Linked DNA regions of Stegostoma tigrinum. The protein of the gene in region 1 interacts with the protein of each later gene in a pairwise test. Links are inferred from orthologs where the notes say so. Each region holds a gene or a part of one and is shown in the gene's direction. Other genes may lie near its edges.

Region 1 (13,108 bases):
TGTTACAAACTCATGAGACAATGTTCTGCTCTATTCCAAGTTCTATAAAGACAACCTTGTAAATAAGATCGCTGAACTGAGCGCCTTATGATAGATATAATCATGTGATCTCTACATGTGAAACACAAGTACAGAATTTCTATCCCAAACATACCCCTTTCCAAATAAAAAGAAAAAAAATTGCACATATCATTTATACAGGCAGTTACCCAGGTTACCTGCTCTGCACATGATTCTTGTCATGCATTAGCAGTTTGTTATTCTCATCTGTCTCTGCACATGCATTGCAAACCCTTTAAATCATGTACCATTTGAGAGGTTGACATGTTTGCGGTATTATTGGCTATTCACTTGGATGACGTTCCAGCTCCATCAACTATGGCTTCCATGTCACATGCTGATGTTGTGGCATCAATTATATTTCCACTTCCTTTGTCAGGGTGTTGTAAACTTCTGGGAGTGATGGTTGATCTGTCTCATGGCAAGTTCATATCTTATTAATCAGCCACCTACGAGCAAACAACTTCTCTAGTCATGTGTCTGTCTTCAGTTGCAATGGTAAATCTTGCTGCTCAGTTCAAACATGTACAATTGATGTAATACCCATTGGACACAGGTCCCAAGTTACCAATTGGTCTGATCCTTGTTAACAACACAATGTTTATACTCTGATGGCTCTCCACTGTTTGAGAATTTGGTAAGAAGATGAATTAGCTGGAGGTCAAATTTAATTTAATTTTGAAATGCACACCTGGTTTCAGCAATGTTTTTGCTATCGGAAGAATAATTTTGGCATGGCACCATAGTCTTTGTTTGTACAGGACTATTTGTCAAGGTTTCTGCTGGTTTGCTTCTCTATGCAAGGACTGGCTTATCTTTGCTGATTTTCACCAATGCCCCAGCCTTTTCAGACAACCAGGGATACAGCAGATGATGTATGATGTTGTATTTTCCAATTCTTTACAAAAGAGCTGGAATTCTTCATTTGGGTACTGAAGATCATTATTGGTCATCCTAGTCTCAGCAGCGGTGGTTCAAATCAACTGGTCCATCTCCCAGGAGTCAGAATCGGTGTCTAGCATGACAAGGTAATCAGCTCCTGTGAGTGCGAACAGATCTATTCCTAGCTACATCCATGGTCTATCTGGGATGTCATGCATCATCAGGGGCTCTCTATCTAGCTTAGATCAGTACTCATTATGAGAACTACACTAACTGATGTGGCCCTTGATTTTATTACTCACATTTGGCCAGGACAGCAAATCTCTTGTCTCGCTCAGGCTGGAATCAATTTCTTGCAGTTTGCATTGATGCACTTCAGCATCTCTCTTAACTCCTTCGGAATAAGAAATATTTCCTTTGTACAATATGCAACTTCAAGCTGTCAATTCATCTGTGTGCCCAATATACTTTTGAGACATAGGAGTGTCCTTGATGCTTTCAGGCCATCCTGTCATCTCGATTTCTTGCAACACTTGCAGATTTAAGTAAGGCATTTAAACACTCAGCATCATTGCTGGGGGCCCCTTTGTGATGCAGTGGTAGTGTCCCTTCCCCTGAACTGAGGAGCCCAGGTTCGAGTCCCATCTGCTCCAGAGGCGTATAAATAACATCTCTGAACAGGTTGATTCAGAAAAATAGATTCAATGTCTTTGCTGAGCTGATGACTTCCAGAACAGACTTCATATAACATTGTGAAATCTTCTAAATCCACTCTCTCACATCATCCTCTACATTAGTCATAAAAAGGAGATCTGCCGTCTGCAGCTTGGTCAGTGATGTACATCTGTTTCCTTTGCTTGTATGTCACATTCACATAGTATCTCTGTGACCAGGCTAACATGTTATGCAGATACTCTGAAGTAAATAGTAGTGCCTTGTGCAAAATAGTTTGAAGCAGTTTGTGGCTAGATTCAAACTCATCTTGTCTCTTCCAATTAGGTGTTAATGAAAATGATCACGAGCAAAGGTAGTCACCCAGGCAACATCTTGATCTGAGCATATATTCATTTTGTTTGCATAAATGCACTGGATCCAAATACAGCTTGTTGTCCTTGTTACACGAGGGATACGCCAAGCCCTGTCCTGCTGGCATCACACTGTGGGCTGCCTTCGTCATGTATATAACACTTTGTCAACTCCATTACCTTGTTAGTTGCTTGATCTTGATGACTGCTGCTTGTTTTGGGCCCCAATGCCATTGTACAACAAAACAAGAGAACTGATCAATGACTTCAGAAAGGAAGGAGAAAGACACGCCACTATCTACATCAATGGTGCAGAGGTGGACAGCGTCAAGTTCGTAGGAGTAACAATAACCAACAATCTGTCCTGCACCTCCCTCATGGATCTGACAGTCAAGGCAGCAGTATAATGCCTTTCCTTCTTCAGATGGCTCTGGAAATCCGACAAGTCCATAAGAACCTCACCAACTTTTACAGTTGCACCACAAAAAGCATTCTATCTGGGTGCATAATGGCTTGTATGGCAACTGCTCTGCCCAGGCCTAGAAAAAGCTACAGGAAGTTGTGTACACAGCCCAGATCACCATGAAAACAAACCTCCCATCCAAGGACTCCATCTACACGTCACGTTGCCACAGAAATGCTGCCAATGCCATCCAAGATTCCTCCCACCCCAGTAATACTGTCTTCAAACCTCTTCCGTCAGACAGAAGATACAGATACACGTTCAAGGATAACTTCTTCTCTGCTGTTATTTGATCACTAAGTGGACTTTTCTAATTTCAAATCTAATATTGATCTTGCTTTAACACATCTTCTGTGCAGACGTATCTGTGTGCCTCACTCTATCCAAATACCCTATGATCTATATGTTCTTGAGTATTATGATCTGCTTGAAATGCTCGCAAAACAAAAAACTTTTCACCGTACTTGAGTACACGTGACAACAATAAAACAAATCAAATCAAAGTAAGTTCTTCTCTCAGCATGAGTGTGGTGCCATCATACAGCCTCGACTTTACTTTTGAGAGCTTCACTTTTCAACTTAAGAGAATCATTGAGTTGTCATTTCACACAAGCCTCTCAAGTTCATGATGCGCCATTGTGTATCTCACACTGCAGAATCACTTGTTATTCTCCTTCTGCAGTCATCATCCCAATAGTTACAAACCATTAATCATACACTGACAAATGAACTAACATGTTCAATGGTTTAGAGTGATTCTTCAGAATTCTATGCAGATATCTCTCCAGCGGCCATCTGCACCTGCTCATTCTACTTCTTTCTAATCAAACACTTCCACAAAATCATTTTGCTTCCTGTAGAAAGAACACTACGTACCTCAAATTGGATATGCCTTATTTTGCTTTGTGTGATGTAGTTGCAACTTGCTCTTTACCTCTGCTCTCTCTTCCTGGAATACCTGTCAAGACAATACCCAAAAGGCCTAGTTTGTTCTGTCATAAATATGCTCTTGGTGTTGATTTAAACACTCCACATTTCTGTACATGTTAATCACTTTCCAGAAAGGAGAAACATATCTTGACTCAATTACATAATCATCATAGAATCATACTATCCCTGCGGTGTGGAAACAAGCCATTTGGCCCAACAATTCCACAGTGGCCCTCCAAAGAGTATTCCACCCAGACCCATTCCCCTACCCCTGCATTTCCCATGGATAATCCACCTAACGTACACACCTCTGGACACTATGGGCAATTTAGCATGGCCAATCCACCTACCCTGCACATCTTTTGACTGAGAGGAAACCCGGACACCTGGAGGAAACACAGACAGACACAGGGAGAATGTGCAAACTCCACCCAGGTCCCTAGAGTTGTGAGGCAGCAGTGCTAACCACTGAGCCACTGTACCGCCCTGTTTTCTCAATTCACAAGACTCAAGAGTGTCATTCTGCAGCCACCTATTTAATCAATGGACACTTTTAGACATAGGCCTTAATGCTGAATATATTGATCATCAATTGAGGTTCATGGTGTAACTTCAGGTTTTCAAAATTTCTGCTCTCTAATATTTTTTGTTCTTTAGAGAGGTTTAGGTTAGAATATAATTCACAAGTCTCTCCATAGAGATAAAAAAAACGGAGATACTTGTAGCTGCTTTGGCTTGTAAATTAAATCTGCTGCAATTTTTTAATTTTGCAAGCAAATGAAAAAAAGCTGTCAGATTTGCTTCATATTATATTTCGTTTTAACTGATACCAGGAGAGTAAAGATGCAGCATGGTGCCTCATCCAGTGCCTTCTAACGTGATTCCCTTCTTTGTTCTTTTTCCGTAGCTTCCTGTTGTTTTTCGCAGCTTTGAACATTTCTGTGCTCCTTGGCTTGTAGTAAGAGTCTTTATTGAACTGAACTGATTACCTCTATAAGTGTCTCATGGTGGATATCACAGGACTACAGCAAGTCAGGAGGCACGATAGTGCAGTATTACGCTTTCATTCTAAACCTGTGTCAAACAGTCACTCTGAACTCCTCTTACAACTGACCGTAATGAGTTGATATCTCAACATCCTGACTACTGTTTTTGAAGTGTTTAATTACTAATGCAATCTCATTAACATAAAGTGTTTTTCTGCAAATGCTCAATAACACGTATTGTGCAATGAGGCAGACTTGACGAGGGAGCTTAAGGTAAAGGAACCCTGAGGAGGCAGAGATCATAAGATGATAGAATTTACACTGCAATTTGAGAGAGAGAGAGAAGATAGAATCAGAGCTAATGGTATTACAGCTGAATAAAGATGACTACAGAGGTATGAGGGAGGACCTGGGCAGAATTGGCTAGAAGAGGAGCCTCGCAGGAAAGACAGTGGAATAAGCACTGGCAGAAGTTTCTGGGAGTACTTCAGGAGATACAGCAAAAATTCATCCCTAGGAAAAAGAAGCATGGTACAGGGAGGATGAGGCAACTATGGCTGACTAAGGAAGTCAGGGATAGCATAAAAACAAAAGAAAGAGAAAGCATATAATGTCAAGAAGGGCAGTGGGAAATCGGAGGACTGGGAAGCTTACAAAGATGAACAGGGGGCAACAACAAAAAAAAAACTAAGGAGGGAAAAGATTAAATGTGAGGGCAGGCTAGCCAGTAATATAAATGAAGACTGTAAGATTTTCTTAGGTATACAAAGGGCAAAAGAGAAACAAAAGTGGACACTGAACCACTGAAAAATGACAGTGGAGAGATAGTAGTGGGAAACAAGGAAATGGCTGAGAAACTGAATTACTTCACATCAGTCTTCATGGTAGAAGACACCAGTAATATCCTAAAAATTCAAGAGTCAGGAGACAGCCTCCATATTCAGCTCCATCACCAAGGAAAAGGCGCTAGAAAAACTGACTGGCCTGAAGGTGGATAAATCACCTGGACCAGATGGGCTACACCCCAGAGTTCTAAAGGAGATAGCTGAAGAGATAGTGGAAGTGTTAGTGGTGATCTTTCAGGAATCACGAGAGTCAGGGAGGGTCACAGAGGACTGGAAAAAATCACTAACGTGACCCTGTTTAAAAGGGGAGTAAGGCAAAAGACGGAAAATTACAGTCCGATTAGCCTAAACTCAGTCGTGGGTAAAATTTGGAGTCCATTGTCAAGGATGAGATTTCTGAATATTTGGAATTATATAGTAAAATAGGGCAAAGTCAGCATGGTTTCATCAAAGGGAGATCATACCTGACACATCTGCCAGAATTCTTTGAGGAAGTAACAAGCAGGGTAGACCAAGGAGAACCAATGGATGCTATCTACCCGGACTTCAAGAAGACCTTTGATAAGGTGCCACACAGGAGACTGCTAAGTAAGATAAGGGCCCACGATTTTAGAGGCAAGGTGCTAGCATGAATAGAAGATTAGCTGTCTGGTAGAAAGCAGGGATTGGGGATAAAGGGGTCTTTCTTGGGATGGCAGCCGGTGACTAGTGATGTTCCGCAGGGGTTGGTGCTGGGACCACAACTCTTCAGTTTGTACTTTAAATGATCTAGATGAAGGAACTGTGGGCATTCTGGCTAAGTTTGCAGATGTTACAAAGATAGGTGGAGGGACAGGTAGTATTGAGGAGGTGGGGAGACTGCAGAAGGTCTTGGACACGTTAGGAGAGTGGACAAGGAAGTGGTAGATGGAGTACAACGTGGGAAAGTGAGAGGTCATACGCTTTGGTAAGAACAACAAAAGCATGGACTATTTTCTAAAATGAGGAGAAAATTCAGAAGTCTGAAGTGCAAAGAGATTTGGGAGTTCTAGTCCAGAAGTCTCTCAAGGTAAACTTGCAGGGTGAGTCAGTAGTCAGGAAGGTAAATGCAATGTTGGCATTTATTTTGACAGGACTTGAATGTAAAAGCAGGGATGAATTACCAAGGTTTTAAAAGGCACCGGCTAGGCCACTTTTTGTGTATTGTGTGCAGTTTTGGGCCCCACGTCTCAGGAAGGATGTACTGGCCCTGGAGCGGGTTCAGAGGAGGTTCACACGAATGGAAAGCTTAACATATAAAGGAACATTTGAGGACTCTGGGACTACACTCATTGGAGTTTAGAAGGATGGGGAATCTAATTGAAACTGTCAAAATACTGAATAGCCTGGACAAGGTGGATGTTGGGAAGATGCTTCCATTTGTAGGAGAGTCTAGGACCCAAGGGCACAGCCTTAGAGTAAAGCGAAGATCTTTTAAAGTAGAGACAAGGAGAAACTTCTTCAGCCAGAGAGTGGTGAATCTATGGAATTCACTGCCACAGAAGGCTGTGGAGACCAGGTCATTGAGTACATTTAAGACTGAGATAGATAAGTTCTGGTTTATCAAGGGATATGGGGAGAAAGCAGGAGAATAGGATGGAGGAACTTATCAGCCATGATTGAATGGCACAGCAGACTTGATGGGCCGAATGACCTAATTTCTGCTCCTTCATCTTATGAAGGGTAATTGAAGAATTGGTAGGAGGAACAAAATGAACATATATACGACAATGCAAAAAAAAAAGACCAGACAAGATACAGAAAAATCAATTCTACATACAAGAATCAAAATTTTTCTACAGTAAAAGAAACGACTTCAGATTAAACAACCTGTTTTAAACGACTATTGAAAAGTCTATAAAAATAACAAGCACTGCAAGACACCACAGACTTACATCTTCCTGCACATGCCTTAGGAGACTTTGCAATTATTTAACTAGCGTTAAATCTTTTCTTTCATAAAGAAAAGACTGATATAGGTAAACTATAATGTATTCAGTCAAATGACTTGGTCCTCAGAACAAACAAAAGTTAAATATAGCGATACATCAGTAAACTCACAAGTCCACAGCCACAGTCCAATGCCGGAAGTGATTACAGACAGACGCAGAGACTGCTTTCTGACTTGCTGCAAGTTCATGACTCCGAGTTCGAATCTATCCCGAGAGCCCATTGGTTAGTGCTTCAGCGCATGTCTCTGTCCTATTGGCTACTGTGCCGAGCTGTGTGTATCCCTGTTTTCTATTGGCTGCAGTGTTTGACAGGATGCATTTCCATGTTGTATTGGTTGTTATGCCTGTCCGATGTATCAATGTATTCTATTGGGTACTACCGTCCGTCTTGCCGTATCACCCTTTTTTGTTGGCTGCAGTGTTTGTCTGGTTGTATCCACTTATCCTATTGGGTATAATGTCTTTCCGGATATATCCCTGTGTCTTATTGGCTATTATTGTCTTGTCTGGATGTATCCTCTTCTTCTGTTGGCCGCTGTGTCTGTCCGGATGTCACCCTCTGTCCTATTTGCTATTTCTGATGGGAGTGAAGCTGAGGGGCCGAGAGGTCATTCCGAGCGTATGTTTTTCTGAAGATTATGGGGTCGCAGCCGCCAGCGAAACCCTGGGAAAGACGGATCCCGGGAAACCTGAGTGCCCCCTCTTTCCAGTAAGTGTTATTCGGTGATCATGATGTGCACGGCCGTGGCTCGGTGTGAAGCCTTAATGGCATTTCCGCTTAAGAAAAAAACCCACAGTGAACTCTTAAAATATCATCGTCTTTCGAACCGAATCCGATTTCAAAATCATAACAGCGGCACTTGCCAAGTGGAGTGTGGCAGGTGTCTGTGATGTGATTGAGCAAGTTGGATAGAGGTTTAGAGAATTATTCGAAATGCTAACGAGTTGTTCCCAGCATTTCTTCATTTTAAGCTTTTTTTTCAGAAGTCACCGCGCTAAATGTACTCCGTAAAGTTTAAAAGTAACAAACATTCAACATTTCGGAGGGAACATCAATGGCTAGGCCCAGTGTGGGGTGACTTCACCCGACATTGCCACCGCTTGTTGTGCTCCAAACCCCCGAAAAGCTGCAAATTCCTCTTCTGCTCTGAACAGTAGGATTGTAAAGTTAGTCAACCTTTTAATGCGGTGTAATTTGTGATGGATACGAATTTTATAAGGTGCTCCGATAATGAAACCAATATGCTTCGGGAGTAATCAGTTCCCACTGGGCTTTTTGTTGAATGAAGGTTGGAAGCAACATTGAGCAATGAAATCGACATTCGGGAATTGCAACATAACTATATAGAGAGTCAGAAATTTCTATACTACAGAAACTGTTCAGCTACAAAAACATTAATAACAAAATCATAATCTTGGATTTAGCAATATTTCGATGGTTTAAATGTCTGTCCTTTTAGTATTGAATTTTGGACGAGCTGTGTGACAATTTAGATACTGGAGGTGCGAGTGAAGTTGACCTGGATGCCATTAGTGCACACGTGAAAGCTAATGCATGAATAGAAGTTGACAAAGTGAAAAGTTATCCATCTAGACTGTTGAAGTCATTTTAAAAGTCCTGAATCTCAGAATGTTAACAAGCAGAACAGCAAGTAACATATGTAGGGAAATGGTGTATCGCTATTTATTACAAAGGGCTTGGAATTTTAGAGTAAAGGTATCTCACCTCAGTTATACGGGGGTATATCTGGAAAACTGTGAGCAGTTTTAGTTTGAGGAAAGTGTGTCTTGTCAGTGTGTCATAGTTAGAATGTATCAGAAGTTTAATAGATTGCTTTCCGTGATGAGGAATTGTCCTATGAGAAGAGATTAACAGAAGTAGACCTTTATTCCCTGGCATTTAAAGGAATTAGATCTGATGAAATAGAAACACAAATCATTCTTAATGAGCTTGCCAGGATGGATGCAGAGAAAAGAATGCCCCTGGCAGGGGAGGGCAGTGCTTTTACACAGACAGTGGTGTAGGCATGGAATGAACTGCTGTGCGAGTTGGTGAAGGTGAGTACAATTACACCAGTTAAAGTGTACATGGATAGGTAAATGAATAGGAATGGTTTAGAGGGACATGGGCCAAATGCTGGTAAAAAAACTGGGACCAGATCAGTTATGATGTCTGGTTGCACAGACGACTTGGACCAAAAGGTCTGTTTCCGTCCTCTATAACTGTATGATTCAATAACTTAGCAGTGAAATGAGAAATTTCTTCTTTCAACGGACAGCGATGCCATCCCAGGTAGCTGCAGACAATTGTTGACTATATTCAAAACAGTGAGTAGATATTTAGGTGCTAAAGGAATTGGGGTACGCTAGGTAGTGTCGAAAGGTGGAGCGAGATCATAGATAAACTATAATCGTATTGCATAGCTCAGAGGGAAAGTGCCTATTCTTGCACTTTGTGCTTTTGAATGATATCCCAAGAAGCAGTGTGTTTATGAGAACTAGAAGAGGGCTAAGGATAAATGCTTGAGGAACAACAGAGCTAATGGTCCAAGAACAGTAATAGTCACATGTGACTCTTTGGTTATGAACGGATTGACAAAGAAGGAATTTGCCCAGTGTGTAGTAGTATACTATTTGACTGCAATGGTGGTCACTGATTATAAAGATTGTGTTGATGGGATAAGATTGATCCTGAGGGATTATATTTGTGGGGCGGTATGGTGACACAGTGGTTAGCACTGCTGCCTCACAGCGCCAGGAACACGGGTTCAATTCCACCCTCTGCCCACTGTCTGTTTGGAGTTTGCACATTCTCCTCGTGTCTGTGTGGGTTTCCTCCCGGTGGTCCAGTTTCCTCCGGTCGATTGGTAATGTTAAATTGTCCGTAGTGTTCAGAGATTTGTAGATTAGGTGGGTTAGAGTGGATTGGGTTTGGGTGGGTGCTTTGAGAGTCGGTGTGGATTGTTGGGCCTAAGGGGTTGTTTTCCACACTGTAGGGATTATATTATTCTGTGATATGATTTCTCTTTCATAGTATGCTGTATAAGTTGAAGGAAGAAAAGAGAAAGTAGGATTGGTATGAACTGTATGGGGGATAGCTACTGTTCTTTGCAGTCAGGAGTATAAGCTTTAGAGGCTGGGTTGCCTGCCCTTTGCCAGGATTAAGCTCATCGGGGACAGGAAAGGAACCTTGAACAGCAAGGGCATTGATCCAATTATTGTGGTCCACGTAGGCATCGTCATCATAGGTAGGAACATGGAAGTTTAGCAGCCATTGGCTAATTTAAAATCAACTACAAATACAGTAAGCTCTAGATTACTAACTCAATCACAAACAAACTGGCACAGGGTCACTGATCAGGGGATTGAATGTAGGACTCCAGAAATTGTTGTGGGAAAGATGGGTTTCAATTGATAAAACACTGGCACAATACTTTAGCTTTTCCACTGGGATAGGCTTCATGTGAACCATGCTTGGACCAGTGCCTTTATACATTGAATACCTGGGGCTGTAGAAATGCGTGGATGGATAGAAAATCAAATGGGTGTGTTTGATTGAGAGTAGAATTTCAGGAATCAGAAGGATTGTTAAGTTGAATTAGATAGAGAAAGATAGTTAAGTACCAGCATTGGAAACAAATATCCAATGGTGGTGTCTTGGCAATGATTGATGGGAAGATGGAGATTAAAATCATGAGTGATTTTAAAAAAAAAAACAAGTTGGGTCGATTTTTCTGTATAATGACACAAAGTAAGATGGTGGTAGTTCTTGGAGGTTAGTCATCTCAGTTTCGGGTCATCACTGCCGCAGTTCCTCAGAGCAGTGTCATAGGCCCACAGATCAGCTGATTCATCAGTGACCTCTCCTTCTTCATTAGGTCGTCTGTGATGATTACACAATGTACCCTCCATAACTCCTCGCATACTGAAGCAGAGCATGTCCAAATGCAACAAGACATGGTCAGTATCCAGGCTTCGGCTGAAAACTAGCAAATAACATTTGCGCGAGACAAATGCCAGGCAGTGACCATTTCCAATCTATCACTGTCTGTTGGTTTTCAGTGGTGTACCTATCACAATGTCGTTACTATCAAAATCCAGCTGGTTAGCAATGACCAGAAACTGAACTAGACTTGTCATGCAAATACTGTGGCCAAAAGAGCAGGTCAGAGGCAAGGAATGCCACAGTAAGTAAGTTGTTCCTGATTCCCCAAAGTCCTGTTGACCATCTTCTTGGCACAAGCCAGGAATGTAACTGTATGCTCCTGACTTGCCTGGATGAGTGTAGCTTGACAACACCCAGGACAAAACAGTCTGCTTGTTTGGCACCATGTCCATGACCATTCAGTCACACCGCCAGCAATGCTCAGTAGCCATAGTGTGTACGATCAACTAAATGCATTGCAGAAATTCAACATGGGTCCTTAGACAGCACCTTCCAAACCCACAACCGCTACCATCTGACAGGACAAGGACAGCAGATACATGGGAACATCACCATAAGATACAGGAAAATAATTACTCCATTCAGCCCATCAAGTCTGCTCTGCCATTCCATCATGGTTGATTATGTTTCTCAACTCAATTCTCCCAGTAACCTTTGATCTCCTAACTAATCGAGAACCTATCTAACTCTGTCTTAAATACATTCAACCATGCGGCCTCTACAGCCCTCTGTAGCAATGAAACCATAGATTCACCACCCTCTGGCTGAAGAAATGCCTCCTCATGGCATTGTACTGTCACAGTAGCTCAGTTCTAAAGGGTCATCCCTTCACTCTGAGGCTGTGCTGTCGGGTCCAAGTTTCTCCTACTAGTGGAAACGTCTTTTCCATAGCCACTCTATCCAGTCCTCTCAGCATTACATTGGTCTAAATCAGATACATAAACCCCCCCCCCCCCCGCCCATCCTTCTAAACTCAAGTACAGACCTAGATCCTTAAACACTCTTCATATGAAAACCCTTCATTCTAGGATCAATTTTGTAAACCTCCTCTGGACCATCCCCAAGGCCAGCACATCCTTCCTAAACTGCTCACAAATTTCCAAACTTGGTCTGTCAAGAGCTTTGTACAAGAGTCTGAGCAGAATTGGCTAAGGAGGACAGAAAATAAGTTAGAAAGTAAGATGGTAGTGAGCATTTAAGGAAGCTATTCATAATGCTCGACAAACATATATTCCAATGAGAGAGAGAAACTCCACATGACAGATGGCTAACTGGAGAAGTAAGGATGCAATTAAAAGAAAAATAATACCATGTTGCAATGATCCGGGGTAGACCAGAAGATTGAGAAAAGTTTACAAATCCGGTAAAAGATGTTTTCTTTTTACAAAGATAAAATAAATTGAGAATAAACTAGCTTGAGACAGGAAACATACACTAATAGATTCTGTGTATACAAAGTGGAAGTGGATAGCTGAAGTAAATGTTGATGTCTTAGGCAAGACTGGAGAATTTAAAAAAGCACCCAGAAAATGCAAGAGACTTCAAAGAAATATATTCTACCTGCATTTGCTGCAGAGGGAATAAAAGTATTGAATTAATGCAGAGGTATCGCTGATGGTGTTTATCTAGTACTCTTGTGTACTGCTGATCATAGTCCAGTTCTCACTGCAGAACATTAGTGTGGTGACAGTAGCTGCTGTGCATTCTAAGACCTATTTTGACTTCGGCAGGTCTTTGTTATCAAACGCTCACCACGGTTTGTAAAAGGCTAAGCTGATGTAGCTGACCCAGTGTGGGATCTTTTCATCAATGGTTGCCTTTTGAGAGGGGTGGCTGTCACATTATGGGAAATGCTTAATATATTTCAGTGACTGCCCTTCAATGTGTATGGGAGGTAGAATATTTTGCTGACCAGTTGAGAGTTGATATTAGTTTTGTTTTGGCAAAGTTCAAGGGCCAGTCAAATTTCTTGGTTGTAGAATTGCAAATTTTGATGCAGAA
Region 2 (12,672 bases), on another chromosome or scaffold:
AACCTAAATATTGTCCAGATAATGCTGAATGCCGATGATTTATGAATAGTACTGAATATTGTGCAATTATCAGTGGACATCTCAATTTCTGATCTTGTTAGAGCAAAAGTCGTTGATAAAGCAGTTGATGATGGTAGAGACATTGACACTACCGTGAGTAACTCCAGCAGCAAAGTTCTTGAACAGAAATGCCAAAGGGTAATAGCAACAGCAATCACAACCATTTTCCTTAATATTAGGTTTGACTCAACCAACAGAAAGCTTTTCTCAATTCCTTTGTACTTCAATTTTGCTGGGGCTGTTTGGTGCCACACTTGGTCAAATACTGTGGTGATGTCGAAGGCAGTGATATTCACATCACCTCTGAAATTGAGCTCTTTCCCCGTCTTTTGGCTAAGCCTTTTAAAAAAAAAGGTCTGGAACTGAGCGGCGAGCACTAATAAGCATGTTATTGCTGTGCAACATCCCTCTGATAGCATTGTTGGTGACTTCTTTCATCATTATACTGATGAATGAGAATTGACTGATAGGACTGTAACTGGCTAGGTTAACATTTGTTCTGCTTCTTTTATGGACAGATCATTTTTGGACAATTTTTCACGTGGAGCAGGTGACAGTGTACTGGAACAGCTTGCCTACGGGTATCCCTGATTCTAGAACACAAGACTGCAGTAGTATAGCCAGGATGTTAGACAGAGCATACAGCTTTTGCTTATTTAATGCCTTCAAATGCTTCTTAGTATTGGTTGAAATAAATCAAAAAGGCTCAGGTTTAGCATTTCAGGGTCAGCTGAAATAGATCATTCACTTGGCACTTCTGGCTGAAAATGACTGGAAATGCTTCAGCCTCTTCTTTGCCACCAATATATTGGGTTCCACCGCCATCATTCACAAGTGAATGTAGCAGAATTTTGATCTAATCTATTGGTTGTGGGATTGTTTAGCTGTCTATGACATGTTGCTTTCACATTTTATCATACATATAATTCTTTGTTGTAGCTTTACCAAGTTGGCACCTTGCTTTTAGGTGTGCCTGGCTTCTGGTATCTTCTTCTACGTTCTTCACTAAAATATGGTTGCTCCCCTGGCCTGATGCTAATAGTGGTATGATGGAAATGCCTGCAATGAAGTTACTGATTGTGTTCAATATGATCACATTGCAGAATGGAAAAGCTGAGGTACCATTTTTCCAGAAATCCACCAGCAACATATGGGGCATCATAATATACAGGGTCTCCTTTCCGTCATAACTTGCTGGATGATTTATACATTAACAGTGCTCACAATAAACTCATTGATCCTCTAGCAGAAAACTCTGGACCTGAATTTTACCAAATCCTTTGGAAGGGAAAATTATGGATAAGCAATATCAGAAATACTGTGTCTATGTAATTTCACGTCCTTAAAATTTTGTGATACTGCCTGTTCATAATTAACATGAGCATTCAGCTGTTTTCTAAAGAGCAACTTACCTATGTTTGCAGGAGTCCATTCCTGACCAGAGTTAAGGATCATGAATTTTGTGTTTTCTGGTAAGTATGCAAAATAGTCTTCATCATCAACAATTGTCCCATCATCTTCAAGCACAACTGTAAATGCTTGTTGTGCATCGTTTTTGTCAAAACATAGTTTTTCTCTCCCTAGACAAAAACAATTAAAATACAAGTTAGAAGATAGTAAAATCTCCTGAAAGTTTAGCTAACTGAAGCAAACACTTAAGATATTGCAGAATGTGAAGTTCCCAACCATGAAAACAATTTCTGTAACCCATTGCTGGTAACTGTATCATGGCACTGCTTATCCTGGAAATAACCCAACTTTAATATGCCTAACATATCCTGCATGTTCAACCTTTCAGCATAAACCTGCAGAATGTGTGTTTATAAATTAAATCGTTTGATCTGCATCTCAATGTTACATGTTGTAAGAGAAAAGGATCAGCATCAATAGCTGAGATAACAAAAGTGTGGAGATGGATGAACACAGCAGGCCAAGCAGCATCTTAGGAGCACAAAAGCTGACGTTTCGGGCCTAGACCCTTCATTGTTTGTAAACAAGTTCTAGTCTTAGCTAAAAAAAGGTTTTCCAACTGAGAAAGAGAGCGTAATCATTATAGGTAACTTATTTCACCTTTGGGCCTACATTAAGACATCACTTGCTGTTCATAACATTTGGATTTAAAAGGAAGCTTTCAAGTTAAATGCACTGTCAAACATAGATAAAAATATTGCACTGATTCTTAACATTGGGGAACTCAACTGTTTATCAGGTTAGGAGAGATTCTTCTGCTCTACATGCAGGGCCCACAACTTTATTTTTTTTGAAAAGCACACATACATAACTTGCACTGACAACAGATAGCAACACAGATCAGGATGCAATCACTTAACTTTGAAAGGCTACTGCTATTCTAAACCAACATGCAGGCTTTTCATTGTATTTTAGTCTTTTTTGAACATTTCATTTGGTCGCCATTTGGAAGTTTCTATGTAGTACTGCCGTCCAAGTGACATCCACATACTTTTTGAATTAGGGTTTAGATATTCTGTCTTTTCCACACTTCTGGCCAGTAAATTCTAGGTCCTTATCATCCTCTGGGTGAAAGGTACTTCCTCCTCTCCCCCTCTAGTGCCTTTTCCAACTGCTTTAAATCTATGATCCCCATAATTTTTGATCCTTTGGCTACAGTAAGCGAGTTGTTCCAATTTATCCTATTGGGGCCTCTCAGAATTTTATAAACAGCAATAAGTCAAATTTGAGCCTCCTTTGTTCCAAGGAAAACAAACTCAAGACTACCGAATCCTTCCTCAAACCTAAAATTTTCCAGATTATGGTTACATCCTCAAACTATTCTGCACCATCGTTTTTGCTGTAATGTGATGAATAAAACTTCCTGCAGTACTTAAGCTTTTATTAATGATCTCCTTAGGGACCAAAAACTTAAAGAGATCCGACTTCCCAGTGACTAACTTAAATGATAACATCACATGATTTCACATATTAAGACATTAATTGTAACAAATATGTTTAAATCACCACTGAGTAAACTTTACTCAGGAGGTAATTAATGCACTAAACTACAGAGAATATCCGCCTTTAACTTCCTAATATAACCAAAAACCCTACATTGTTTTTGTTTTCACAATACATACTAGTGGTGTTCCACTAGGATCAGTGCTGGGACTTTTGTTGTTTCTAATATAAATAATGATCTGCAGGAAAGAAAAATAGGTGGTCTGATTAGTATTTTTGTGGATGACACCAAAATTGGCAGAGTTGTAGATAGTGAGGATTGTCAAAGGATAAGGTAAGGTATAGATAGATTGCAGATTTGGGCACTGAAATGGCAGAGAGAATTCAATCCAAACAAATGTGTGGTGATGCATTTTAGAAGAACAAATTCAGGTACAAATTATACAATAAATGGCAGAGGCCTAGGGGCATTGACATAGAGGGGGAACTGGGTGTACAGGTCCGCAGACACCTGAAAGTGGCAACACAGATGCATTAAGGGTCAAGAAGGCATTTAGCACACTGCCTTCATTGGCTGGGCTATTGGATATAAAAGGTGGGAAGTAGTGTTACAGATGTATAAAACTTTAGTGAGGCCACATTTGGAATACTGCATGCTACCAGAAAGATGTGGATGCTTTGGAGAGGGTGCACAGAAGAATTAGCAGGATGTTGCCTGGTCTGGGGAGTTTTAGGTATGGGGAAAGGTTGGATAAACTTGGATTATTTTCACTGGAAAGATGGAGGCTGAGGGGTGGTCTGATTGAGATCTACAAAATTATGAGAGACATAGATAGGATGGATAGTCAGAGGCTTTTCCCCCCAAGGTGGAAAGGTCAACTACAAGAGAATACGGGTTCAAGGCGAGAGGGGGAAATTTTAGGGGAGAAGTGTGTAGAACATTTTTCACACACAGGGTTTTGGGTGTCTGAAATGTGCTTTTAGTGGAGCTAATGGAAGCAAGCACGTTAGCAAGATTTAAGGTGTATCTTGATAGACACACGAAAAGGAGGTGAAGAGAGAGATAGTGACTGAGTATGGGTGATAAGTAGTTGGTCTAAGTAAGAAGTAGAAATCAGTGCAGTCTTGGTGGGCTGAAAGGCCTAGTCCTGTGCTGTGTTGTTCTCTGTGCTTTCTCTGCAAAACTGACATCTTTACAGCAACCAGACCAAAGGTACCGCCAACTTCTAAAAAGCTCATTTTCCCGTTTTGTAGTGTCTGTTGAAAGTCATTTCCACTTGTCTTCTGAGAATCCCTAACCCAACTCTTTCTAGTCACACATGGGATTTTTGTCCAGAAATCTCCACAACTCTGTCTCTTGTAGCAGAGAAGGAGTCCTCAGCAGAAATCCACCTGCTGGTTCACAGAAAGCAGCCTTTTACCTCTGCTTTTGACAGCAGCTGCTGCTCCCTTATCTCCCTTTCTGTCCAGGATGTCTCAGTCAGTATTTCTGGTATTACTAAGGCCAGCTGTGTAATCCTTTGTCTCCAGGTGTTAGGGACCTGTCCCCAAGGCAGTCAGATCACTTGGACTTGTTGCTGGGCAGATCAACAGACACAATTTTATTTTATCTTTAATTAAAGGAGTTAGTCTAAACATAATCATTTTATGCAGCCTCACATTTGTAACAATGGTCCTCTAACCAGCAGTGTAAAAAAATGCTGGAATAGTCTCCCTGCTGTTATATTCTATGATTCGGCTAATAAAAGAAACCATAATTATATTCTATTTAATCATTTTATAGCTTGTCCTGCTGCTTTTAAGGATCTGTTGACATCCACTCCAAAGTCTCTCTGCTCTTCCACATAACTGAGTACCTTCATATTTAATGTGTATTACCGTTGTCTTGTTGCACCTCCTAAAATGCACTATCTACTTCAATGGATTGAATTCCATTTTCCACTTTTCTGCCCAAATAACCAGATCATCTCTAGCTTCCTGCAGTCTAAAACTTTCCTCCTCACCACAAACTACACGACCAACATTTGTATTATCTGCAAACTTCTTTATCATGCCTCCTTCAATGGTGTCTATATTAGTGATATGAATTACCAAAAGCAAGGGAATGAGTACTAAGTCCTGTGGAATTCCACCAGTCACAAAAAATACTTTCAACCGTCACCCTTTGCTTCCTCCAACACAAGGTCACTTTTGGATTCAATTTGCTACCCTCCCTTGAATTCCTCCAACTCTGAACCTTTTTGATTCTCATACATGGGCCCCTGGGTCAAATAATTAATTTTCTCCAGTTCACAGTTTCCAGTTTTGCAAGTTAACTTCGATTCTTTGATCAAATTTGTTTCTAAATCCATCCCAAATATTTTTGTATGCTCTAAGCAGTCATTTTTTTAGTGGGTGCAATTCTTCAAGCTTACAATGAGCCTCACTGGAAAAATATGTACATGTTATACATCAAGATGGGTCATTTCAACATCCTGCTGCAGTACAATGAAAAAAACAGTTAGGGTAGAAGAGGCAAACTCTGTACGCATCATTCTATCCATGTCAAGGCAATCAGAACTCTTTATAACCCAGCCAAATTTACTTTGAGTGGGTAATTGCATGTGACTTAAATCTTTTTCAATATTTATACAACCAAGGTTATTAGATTCAAAGTCCATGAGTTACAAACCAAGGTAAAAGCCTCTTTATGCCGTGAACCAGCTCCATCTATTGGGACAGGTCAGACAGAAAGCTAAGAGGCTGTAAATTAAAATCACAAGTACAGATCTGTAACAAAAAAAACTGTAATAATAGATGTTTTCTAACTTGAGAAACTAACACTGTTTCTAACAAAGCAACACACCAAGGATTTGGAGAAACTCAGCAGATCTGGCAACATCTGTGAAGAAACAAGAGTTAACATTTTGCACCGGAATGACTTCTTCAGAACACTCTTTGCAACCTTCATGGGCACTCAGTTAACTTGCTTGGTGGACTCCAAAGCTAGAAGCAAGTCTTTGAGTTTGACAGGAACAATGAAACAGGATAAGAATGCACACTTCAACACAGACTCACTCTATCCTAATTTTTTAGGCACTAAACTTAAAAATGGATTTTGAAAGTGGAACAGCACAAGACAAATCTTAGATAACAAGGTGTGAAGCTGGATGAACACAGCAGGCCAAGCAGCATCTCAGGTGCACAAAAGCTGACGTTTTGGGCCTAGACCCTTCATCAGAGAGGGGGATGGGGAGAGGGAACTGGATTAATAGGGAGAGAGGGGGAGGCGGACCGAAGATGGTGCAGTGGGAGAGAGATTCCCTGAGGTTGGTCCGGAGGGAGGAGGGTAACTTCTTCAGGTTAGGCATCCCTGGAAGAGGCTTTGCAGTGGGGTTAAAATTGTATCAGAGATAGTAGGAACTGCAGATGCTGGAGAATCCAAGATAACAAAGCGTGGAGCTGGATGAACACAGCAAGCCAAGCAGCATCTCTGCAGCGCAAAAGCTGACGTTTCGGGCCTAGACCCTTCATCAGAGAGCCTCTCTGCTTTTTGTGCTGCTGAGATGCTGCTTGGCCTGCTGTGTTCATCCAGCTCCACACTTTGTTATCTTGGATTCTCAAGCATCTGCAGTTCCTACTATCTCTGATACAAGACAAATCTTAATGGCCTCATTTAATCAGGCTTAGGTATTTTCTAATCAACCTATTTAGACATGTTATTAGAGATAATGGGAACTGCAGACGCTGGAGGATCCAAGATAACAAAGTGTGCGGGATGCTGCTTGGCCTGCTGTGTTCTTCTAGCCCCACACTTTGTTATCTTAGACACGTTATTACAAGCTTTTGCAGGTGGAATTTGAACTCACAGCATCCTGGCCCAGGGGTGGGGACACTGCAACTACACCACAAGAGCCTCCTGGATTGACTTAATATGACTGTTATTAAGGTGTCAGACCTGCTACATATGCCCTGTTGCCCGTGGCCCACCTCCCCATCCGATGGAAGTTTAAAAATGGGATGGGGCCAGGGAGCCAGCATACCAAACAATGACAGTCTTTCTGGCTTCGCTTGTGTACCAAGGTGACAAGGGCTTCTGAATGGTTACCTTTGGCTACCAGATCTTCCAAAGACTTCACGACGACGCCGAACGTTTGAAGACGGCTAGAGCCACAGATTTTGCAGGGAAATCTTCTTTCTTGATCCATGGCTGAACACCCCCTGCCCTCTCCAGGAGTGAGGCAGAGAGAGACCTGGTTTGCTTTCGAAGGCGAATGGTCTAGATACCTTAAGACTAATGGGTGAGGAGCGCCCCCCCAAACACTTATAAGCAGATTATCTGGTAGCTCTTCACCTTACTGTTGTGGGATCTTGCTGTGCACAACCAGGTCCCTGCGTTTCCCACAGTAACTGAACTTCGAGAGTCCGCTAATGGCAACAAGGGACACTAGGACAGAGAGCTGATGCCGCAAAGTAATGTAAATATACAATTCCCTCTCCCCACAGATGTTCTGCACCGTCCCTCCCAGTTGTTGTTGTAGTAGTGGTGGCTGGCTGTTATTGCGCATGCGCTCCAAACCGACAATTTTTTTTCCCCGTCTGAATTAACGAGGGAGAAAAATGATTATAGCCATGGCTGTGGATTGTCGGAAGCTTAAAAAAACATTTAAAAGGTCCACTGTGAGAAAAAAATAAAGCGACGGCCTGAGTGTGATCATGCCAACCCAGAATAAAAACTACAACTCCCATAATGCTTCGGCCCCAACGGTCCGTTAATTTTCTGTATGTTCTGAATATAATCCACAATTTTACATCAGGTTAGGATTTTATAAATCTCTACTTGAATTCATTTTACCAGAAAAGGTGATGTTTTTGTCCTTGTCGTTGGTGATTGAGGGGTTCTGCGATCGATATTGTCGCCTCGGGCACAGGAGAGCGACCGTGCTATGATCGGTTGCTCTGGTCCATAAAGATGGCGTCCTTTGAGCAGGCGGAGCCGCGACAGGTAAGAAACCCCGGGGTGGCCCATACACATCTCCCACCTTCCCTCAAACTTACCTCCCCTCCATTCCCACCTCAATCGCTATCCCATTACTTTATCCCCTACATCCCTTCCGCTCACATCCCCCCCTCCCCCGACGTCCTGTACACCTCTCCCTTCCCCACTCACCTCCTTCACAGCTCTCCTCCAACCTCACTCACCCATACATTTCCTTTGCCTGCCTCATACCCCCTTTCCCTTTCCCCCCAAATCAATCTCTTGTTCCCCCACCACCATCACCACCTCTCACCCTCACATTACCTTCTCTCTCAACCTTAACCCGCCTTCTACCCCCGCCCCCAGTTCACCGTCAGCTGCCCCCCCACACGGCTGACGCTCAACCGACCCCCCCCCCCATCCTGCGCCTCTCCTAACATGCCCTCGCATGATATCTCCCTTCTTGCTTCATCCCCTTTCATGTTGTCTTCCCCCCTCATCCCTCCACGCATCCTCGCTTGCACTTTCCCCAACATACGTGCTGTCTCTTCTGTTCATTGCCTTTCCTCCCATCTCTTGCTCTGCCCCTCTGCCCACCCCTCCTTTCCCCTACTCTGTTGCCTTCTCCCCTTCTTCCCCTTGCCTTCTGTTCTTCGCTGACACTCCTTTGCCTGCATGTCCTTCCTTTCCTCCATTACCATTTGGGAATTTGATCCAAATCACTGGTTTATTTTTGTTCGCTTTCAGAAACGTCAGTAACCCAGATACTATAATCGCTTTTCCCTTGTAGAAGTACTGTCAGATCAGAGTGAAGTCCAGTGCATTAAAAAGGGGCAATCGTATTTATGTGTTTGGTAATTTTTTGTCTATGAAGTACTTATTATGCTTCACTTCGTCTCCGTCTCACTGCTTTTAGAGGAATACAAGGTATATGAGTGTGTTTATTAGATATGAGGTTATTTGGAAAAAATACACTGGATAAACCTGAGATTCCATTCAATGCTCAGTTTTTTTGAGAGCTTGTGGTCAGCCTCTGATCTTGTTTCTAATGCCCTTTTCTTGATGTTTCAGTTTTTAGCTGTTAGCTATGCTGATAATTATGCATTTACTTATATGCCAATAATACTGTTTTTCAGTTTATTTATTTTTCATTTTGCATTTCCGCTGTCTCGGTCTGGGTGTGGCCATGTGTTGTTGAGTGCCGATAGTATCTATCCAAACTAAACAGCACTATTGACCAAAAATGCTTTTGTTCTTGTAACTAAGTAAACAATGTTGGGGAACTTAGGTAAAACGGGAAGATTCTGGGGATATTCAGAAGGTTAGATAGTTACTGACCAAGCTCTCAACTTCAACTTCTAATCTGGTTGTGGTGTAAGGTTGTTGAACTGAGTGGATGTAGAATCCAAGTTAACAACAGATGCTAACACTGAAATTGCTGGAAAAGCTCAGCTGGTCTGGCAGCATCTGTGGAGAAAAATCAGAGTTAACGTTTCAGGTCAGGTGACTGGACGAAGGAGCACTCAACCCAAAATGTTAACTCTGATTTCTCTCCACAGATGCTGCCAGACCTTCAGAGCTTTTCCAGCAATTTCTGATTCACAGCAACCACAGTTCTCTTTGGTTTTCAACCACAGATGCTGCTCGACCTGCTTAGCATTCCTAATGTTTTCTTTTTTCATTTCCAGAGTGTATGTGCAGGTTTACAAGGTAAAGGTGGGGAATGTGGGACTCCTTCTTCTGTTATTTTTGCACCAAGCCAGCATGGCTGTGTGTGTCAGACCGTAAGTGTGTTTTTCCCCAAGGTCACATAATTTATTTTCTCCAGTTCACAGTTTCCGGTTTCGCAAGTTAACTTCGATTCTTTGATCAAATTTGCTTCTAAATCCATCCCAGATATTTTTGTATGCTCCAAGCAGTCATTTTTTTAGAAAGTAATCATGTGAAACAGTACAGGAGAAACTCGGAGGGTCTGGCAGCATCTGTGGAGAGAGAAACTGAGTCCAGTATAATTCTTAACATTAGCTCTGTTTCTCTATCCACAGATGCTGACAGACCCTCAATTTCTCCAGCACTTTACTTCAGATCTCCAGAATCTCTAGTATTTTGCATATGAGAAATTCCTATTTTTGTGTTGCAAACAAAGTGGAATTATTTGGATACTTTTTGTAGGTTTCTTTGGGGAGGAGAAATTCATATTTGGGAAAGTTTTGGGTATAAATAGTTCTGATGGTTTAAAATTTGGCATTTTTGCATTTATCCTGAAGAGGACAAGACATCAGACTTTGGAAAGAGCTAACACGGTGTGGACCCGTCCCTACCCGAAGTGTCAACTTTCCTGCTCCTCTGCTGCCTGGCCCGCTGTGTTCCTCCAGCTCCACACTGTGTTATCTCAGACTCCAACATCAGCAGTTCTTACTATCCCCGACTTTGGAAAGATGTCTCTTCTGCAAGATTCAAGATTTGTATTACCAAGCAATTATTCAGTTCATAAAGTTGTTTCAAAAAATTATATTTCTCAATGAATTTTGCTGTTCAATTGGTGGCCAATTGTCACCAGAATGGAATTTAATTCTGAAACTTGAATTTTAAGATCTGATTGGCTTCCTATGTTGCTTTCTTTGTGGTATTTCATATTCCTTTTTTATTCTGGAGTTTTAGGCTGAGTGTGGACTTCACTCAACCAAGTCTTAGGTACAATTTGATTGTTTGTTTGTTTGTTTTTGTTTTGGCAATTTTTGGCATGCCCTGTGATGATACTTCAGGGTTTGCCTCTGTTTTGTTTACAGCAGCCTTGGAATCATACAGAACAGAAAAAGGCCCTTTGGCTGAATTTGTTCGCACCAATCAGGTTTCCAAAACTGAACTCATCCGATTTGGCCCATATTCCTCTAAACCTTTCCTATCATGTACCTGTCCAAAACTCCCTTAGATGTTGTAATTGTACCTGCATCTATCATTTCTTCTGGCAGCTTGTTGTATATACACACACACACACACACGATCCTCTGTGTGGAAAATGTTGCCCCTTAGGTACCTTTTTAAATCTTTCCCTTCTCACTTTAAATCTATGCCGTCTGGTTTTGGACTCTCCTATCCTTGAGAAAAGACCTTGGCTATTCTCCTTATCTGTGCTGCTCATGATTTTATAAATTTCCATAAGGTCACCCCTCAGCCTCCTATGCTTCAAGGGAAAATAGTCCTAGCTTATTCAGCCTCTCCTTATAACTCAAACCATTCAAATTCCGTAACATCCTTGTAAATCTTTTTTGCATCTTTCCAGTTAAATAACATCCTTCCTACAGCAGGGTGTTTCTGCCTAATGTGCCTTGGCCCAGAAAATCTGAGCTGCAGGGACCATCCTGTCTCTATTTTAAGCAATGTATTATTAGCCTGGATTTAGATCAGTCACTGAATAAATAATCTATTTTAAGGCAGTCGTATTTGTTCTAATATCTTTTTGTATATAACATGCACAATAAAGGGCATTATAAAGTTAGGATGAAATTTAGGGCTGTATATAAACATTCAAAGTGGACCTCCAAAAGGTAATTCCATATGAATAATCTTTAGGAAATCAGCATGTGTAAAGGTCTGTCAGAGTACCTCAACCTAATTTGTTACAGGAGATGAGAGGATGTTTAAAGTTATCTTCCCACAGCACAGTGTGAGCATGTTCCTATGATTTCTACTGCAGCCAGTTGTATATTAAGGTCTCCTTGACACAGCACAATGTGAATCTATTTGGAGACAGATGAAGCCCTTAAAACAATTTGCATTATCTGATGTATGGAATGTACACCATTTTCAGTTTCACCCAACGTGTGTGAGTACCACATTCTCACTACCCTGGATAAAGAAGCTCCTGCTAGATTACATATTAGGTTTTTATTTATCATATTTATGGTTCTGATTTATCTGTCTTCCTGCATGTGGAATCATCATGTAATCTACCAGATCGCTGCTGCGCCATGGGTCCCTATCCGATCACCCCTCCGTCGTCTCTTTGAGTGGAAAGTCCCCATCTGTTCAATCTTTTCTGATTACATTTAAACCAATGTTCTAGTATCAGCCTTGTGGTACCTCTTTGTATCTTCTCCATGTATTTCTTTCAAATAAGGAAACCAGGATTTAGGGGAGGCTGTATGGCACTGGATTAGTAATCTGCTACTCCAGGCTGAAGTTCTGGTGATATGGTTCAAATTGTACCAAGACAGATAGTGAAATTTGGGTTGAATAAAATCTGAAATGAAGACTCTAATTGATAATGGTTACATAATCATCATTATTGTAAAAACCAATCTGGTTCACTAATGATCATCAGGGAAAGAAATCCGCTGCTCTCACCCCATCTACACTGCATGTGGCTCCAGACCCATGGCACTGTGGTTGCCTCTTAACTATCTTTTGAAAAGACCATAGCAAACCAAACAGTTCAAGGGCTAATTAAGAATGGGCAACAAATGGCCTTGCCACTGTTACAAATTTGGGTGGAGCATTCATGGATTGGAAGGCAGGGAGTTAGTATTTGTGGATAAAAATAATCGTGGGGAAAAAGTGCTGTGGTCCCTTTAAGAACTTGTGCTTTGTCCGTGCTTGGAAGCTTATAAATGCAGGTGCATAGAGAGTGCCCACATGGAAACATTTCGTATAGAACGGCCGTGCAGCATTTTTTTCCGAGACAACAAGTTTGAATTTTGCCAATTAATTTAAATGAAGCATCTAGATACAGAAAGCCGGTT

The links.
Region 2: the proteins of pex13 (region 1) and pex14 interact in a two-hybrid assay, tested with the Homo sapiens proteins (2 studies listed by BioGRID and IntAct, with this or other methods). The link is inferred for Stegostoma tigrinum from reciprocal best matches to the Homo sapiens genes PEX13 and PEX14.

Annotation. Positions count from the first base shown.
Region 1 is NC_081362.1:41,435,626-41,448,733, reverse strand, and holds the start of pex13 (peroxisome biogenesis factor 13), read left to right. Parts: upstream 1-7,666; 5' UTR 7,667-7,799; coding exon 7,800-7,870; intron 7,871-13,108. UniProt on the Homo sapiens protein: Component of the PEX13-PEX14 docking complex, a translocon channel that specifically mediates the import of peroxisomal cargo proteins bound to PEX5 receptor.
Region 2 is NC_081381.1:13,580,408-13,593,079, reverse strand, and holds the start of pex14 (peroxisomal membrane protein PEX14), read left to right. Parts: upstream 1-7,855; 5' UTR 7,856-7,924; coding exon 7,925-7,957; exon of another isoform or gene 7,958-8,023; intron 8,024-12,672. Other genes in the region: dffa (DNA fragmentation factor subunit alpha), read right to left, coding at 1,473-1,640, 7,061-7,160. UniProt on the Homo sapiens protein: Component of the PEX13-PEX14 docking complex, a translocon channel that specifically mediates the import of peroxisomal cargo proteins bound to PEX5 receptor.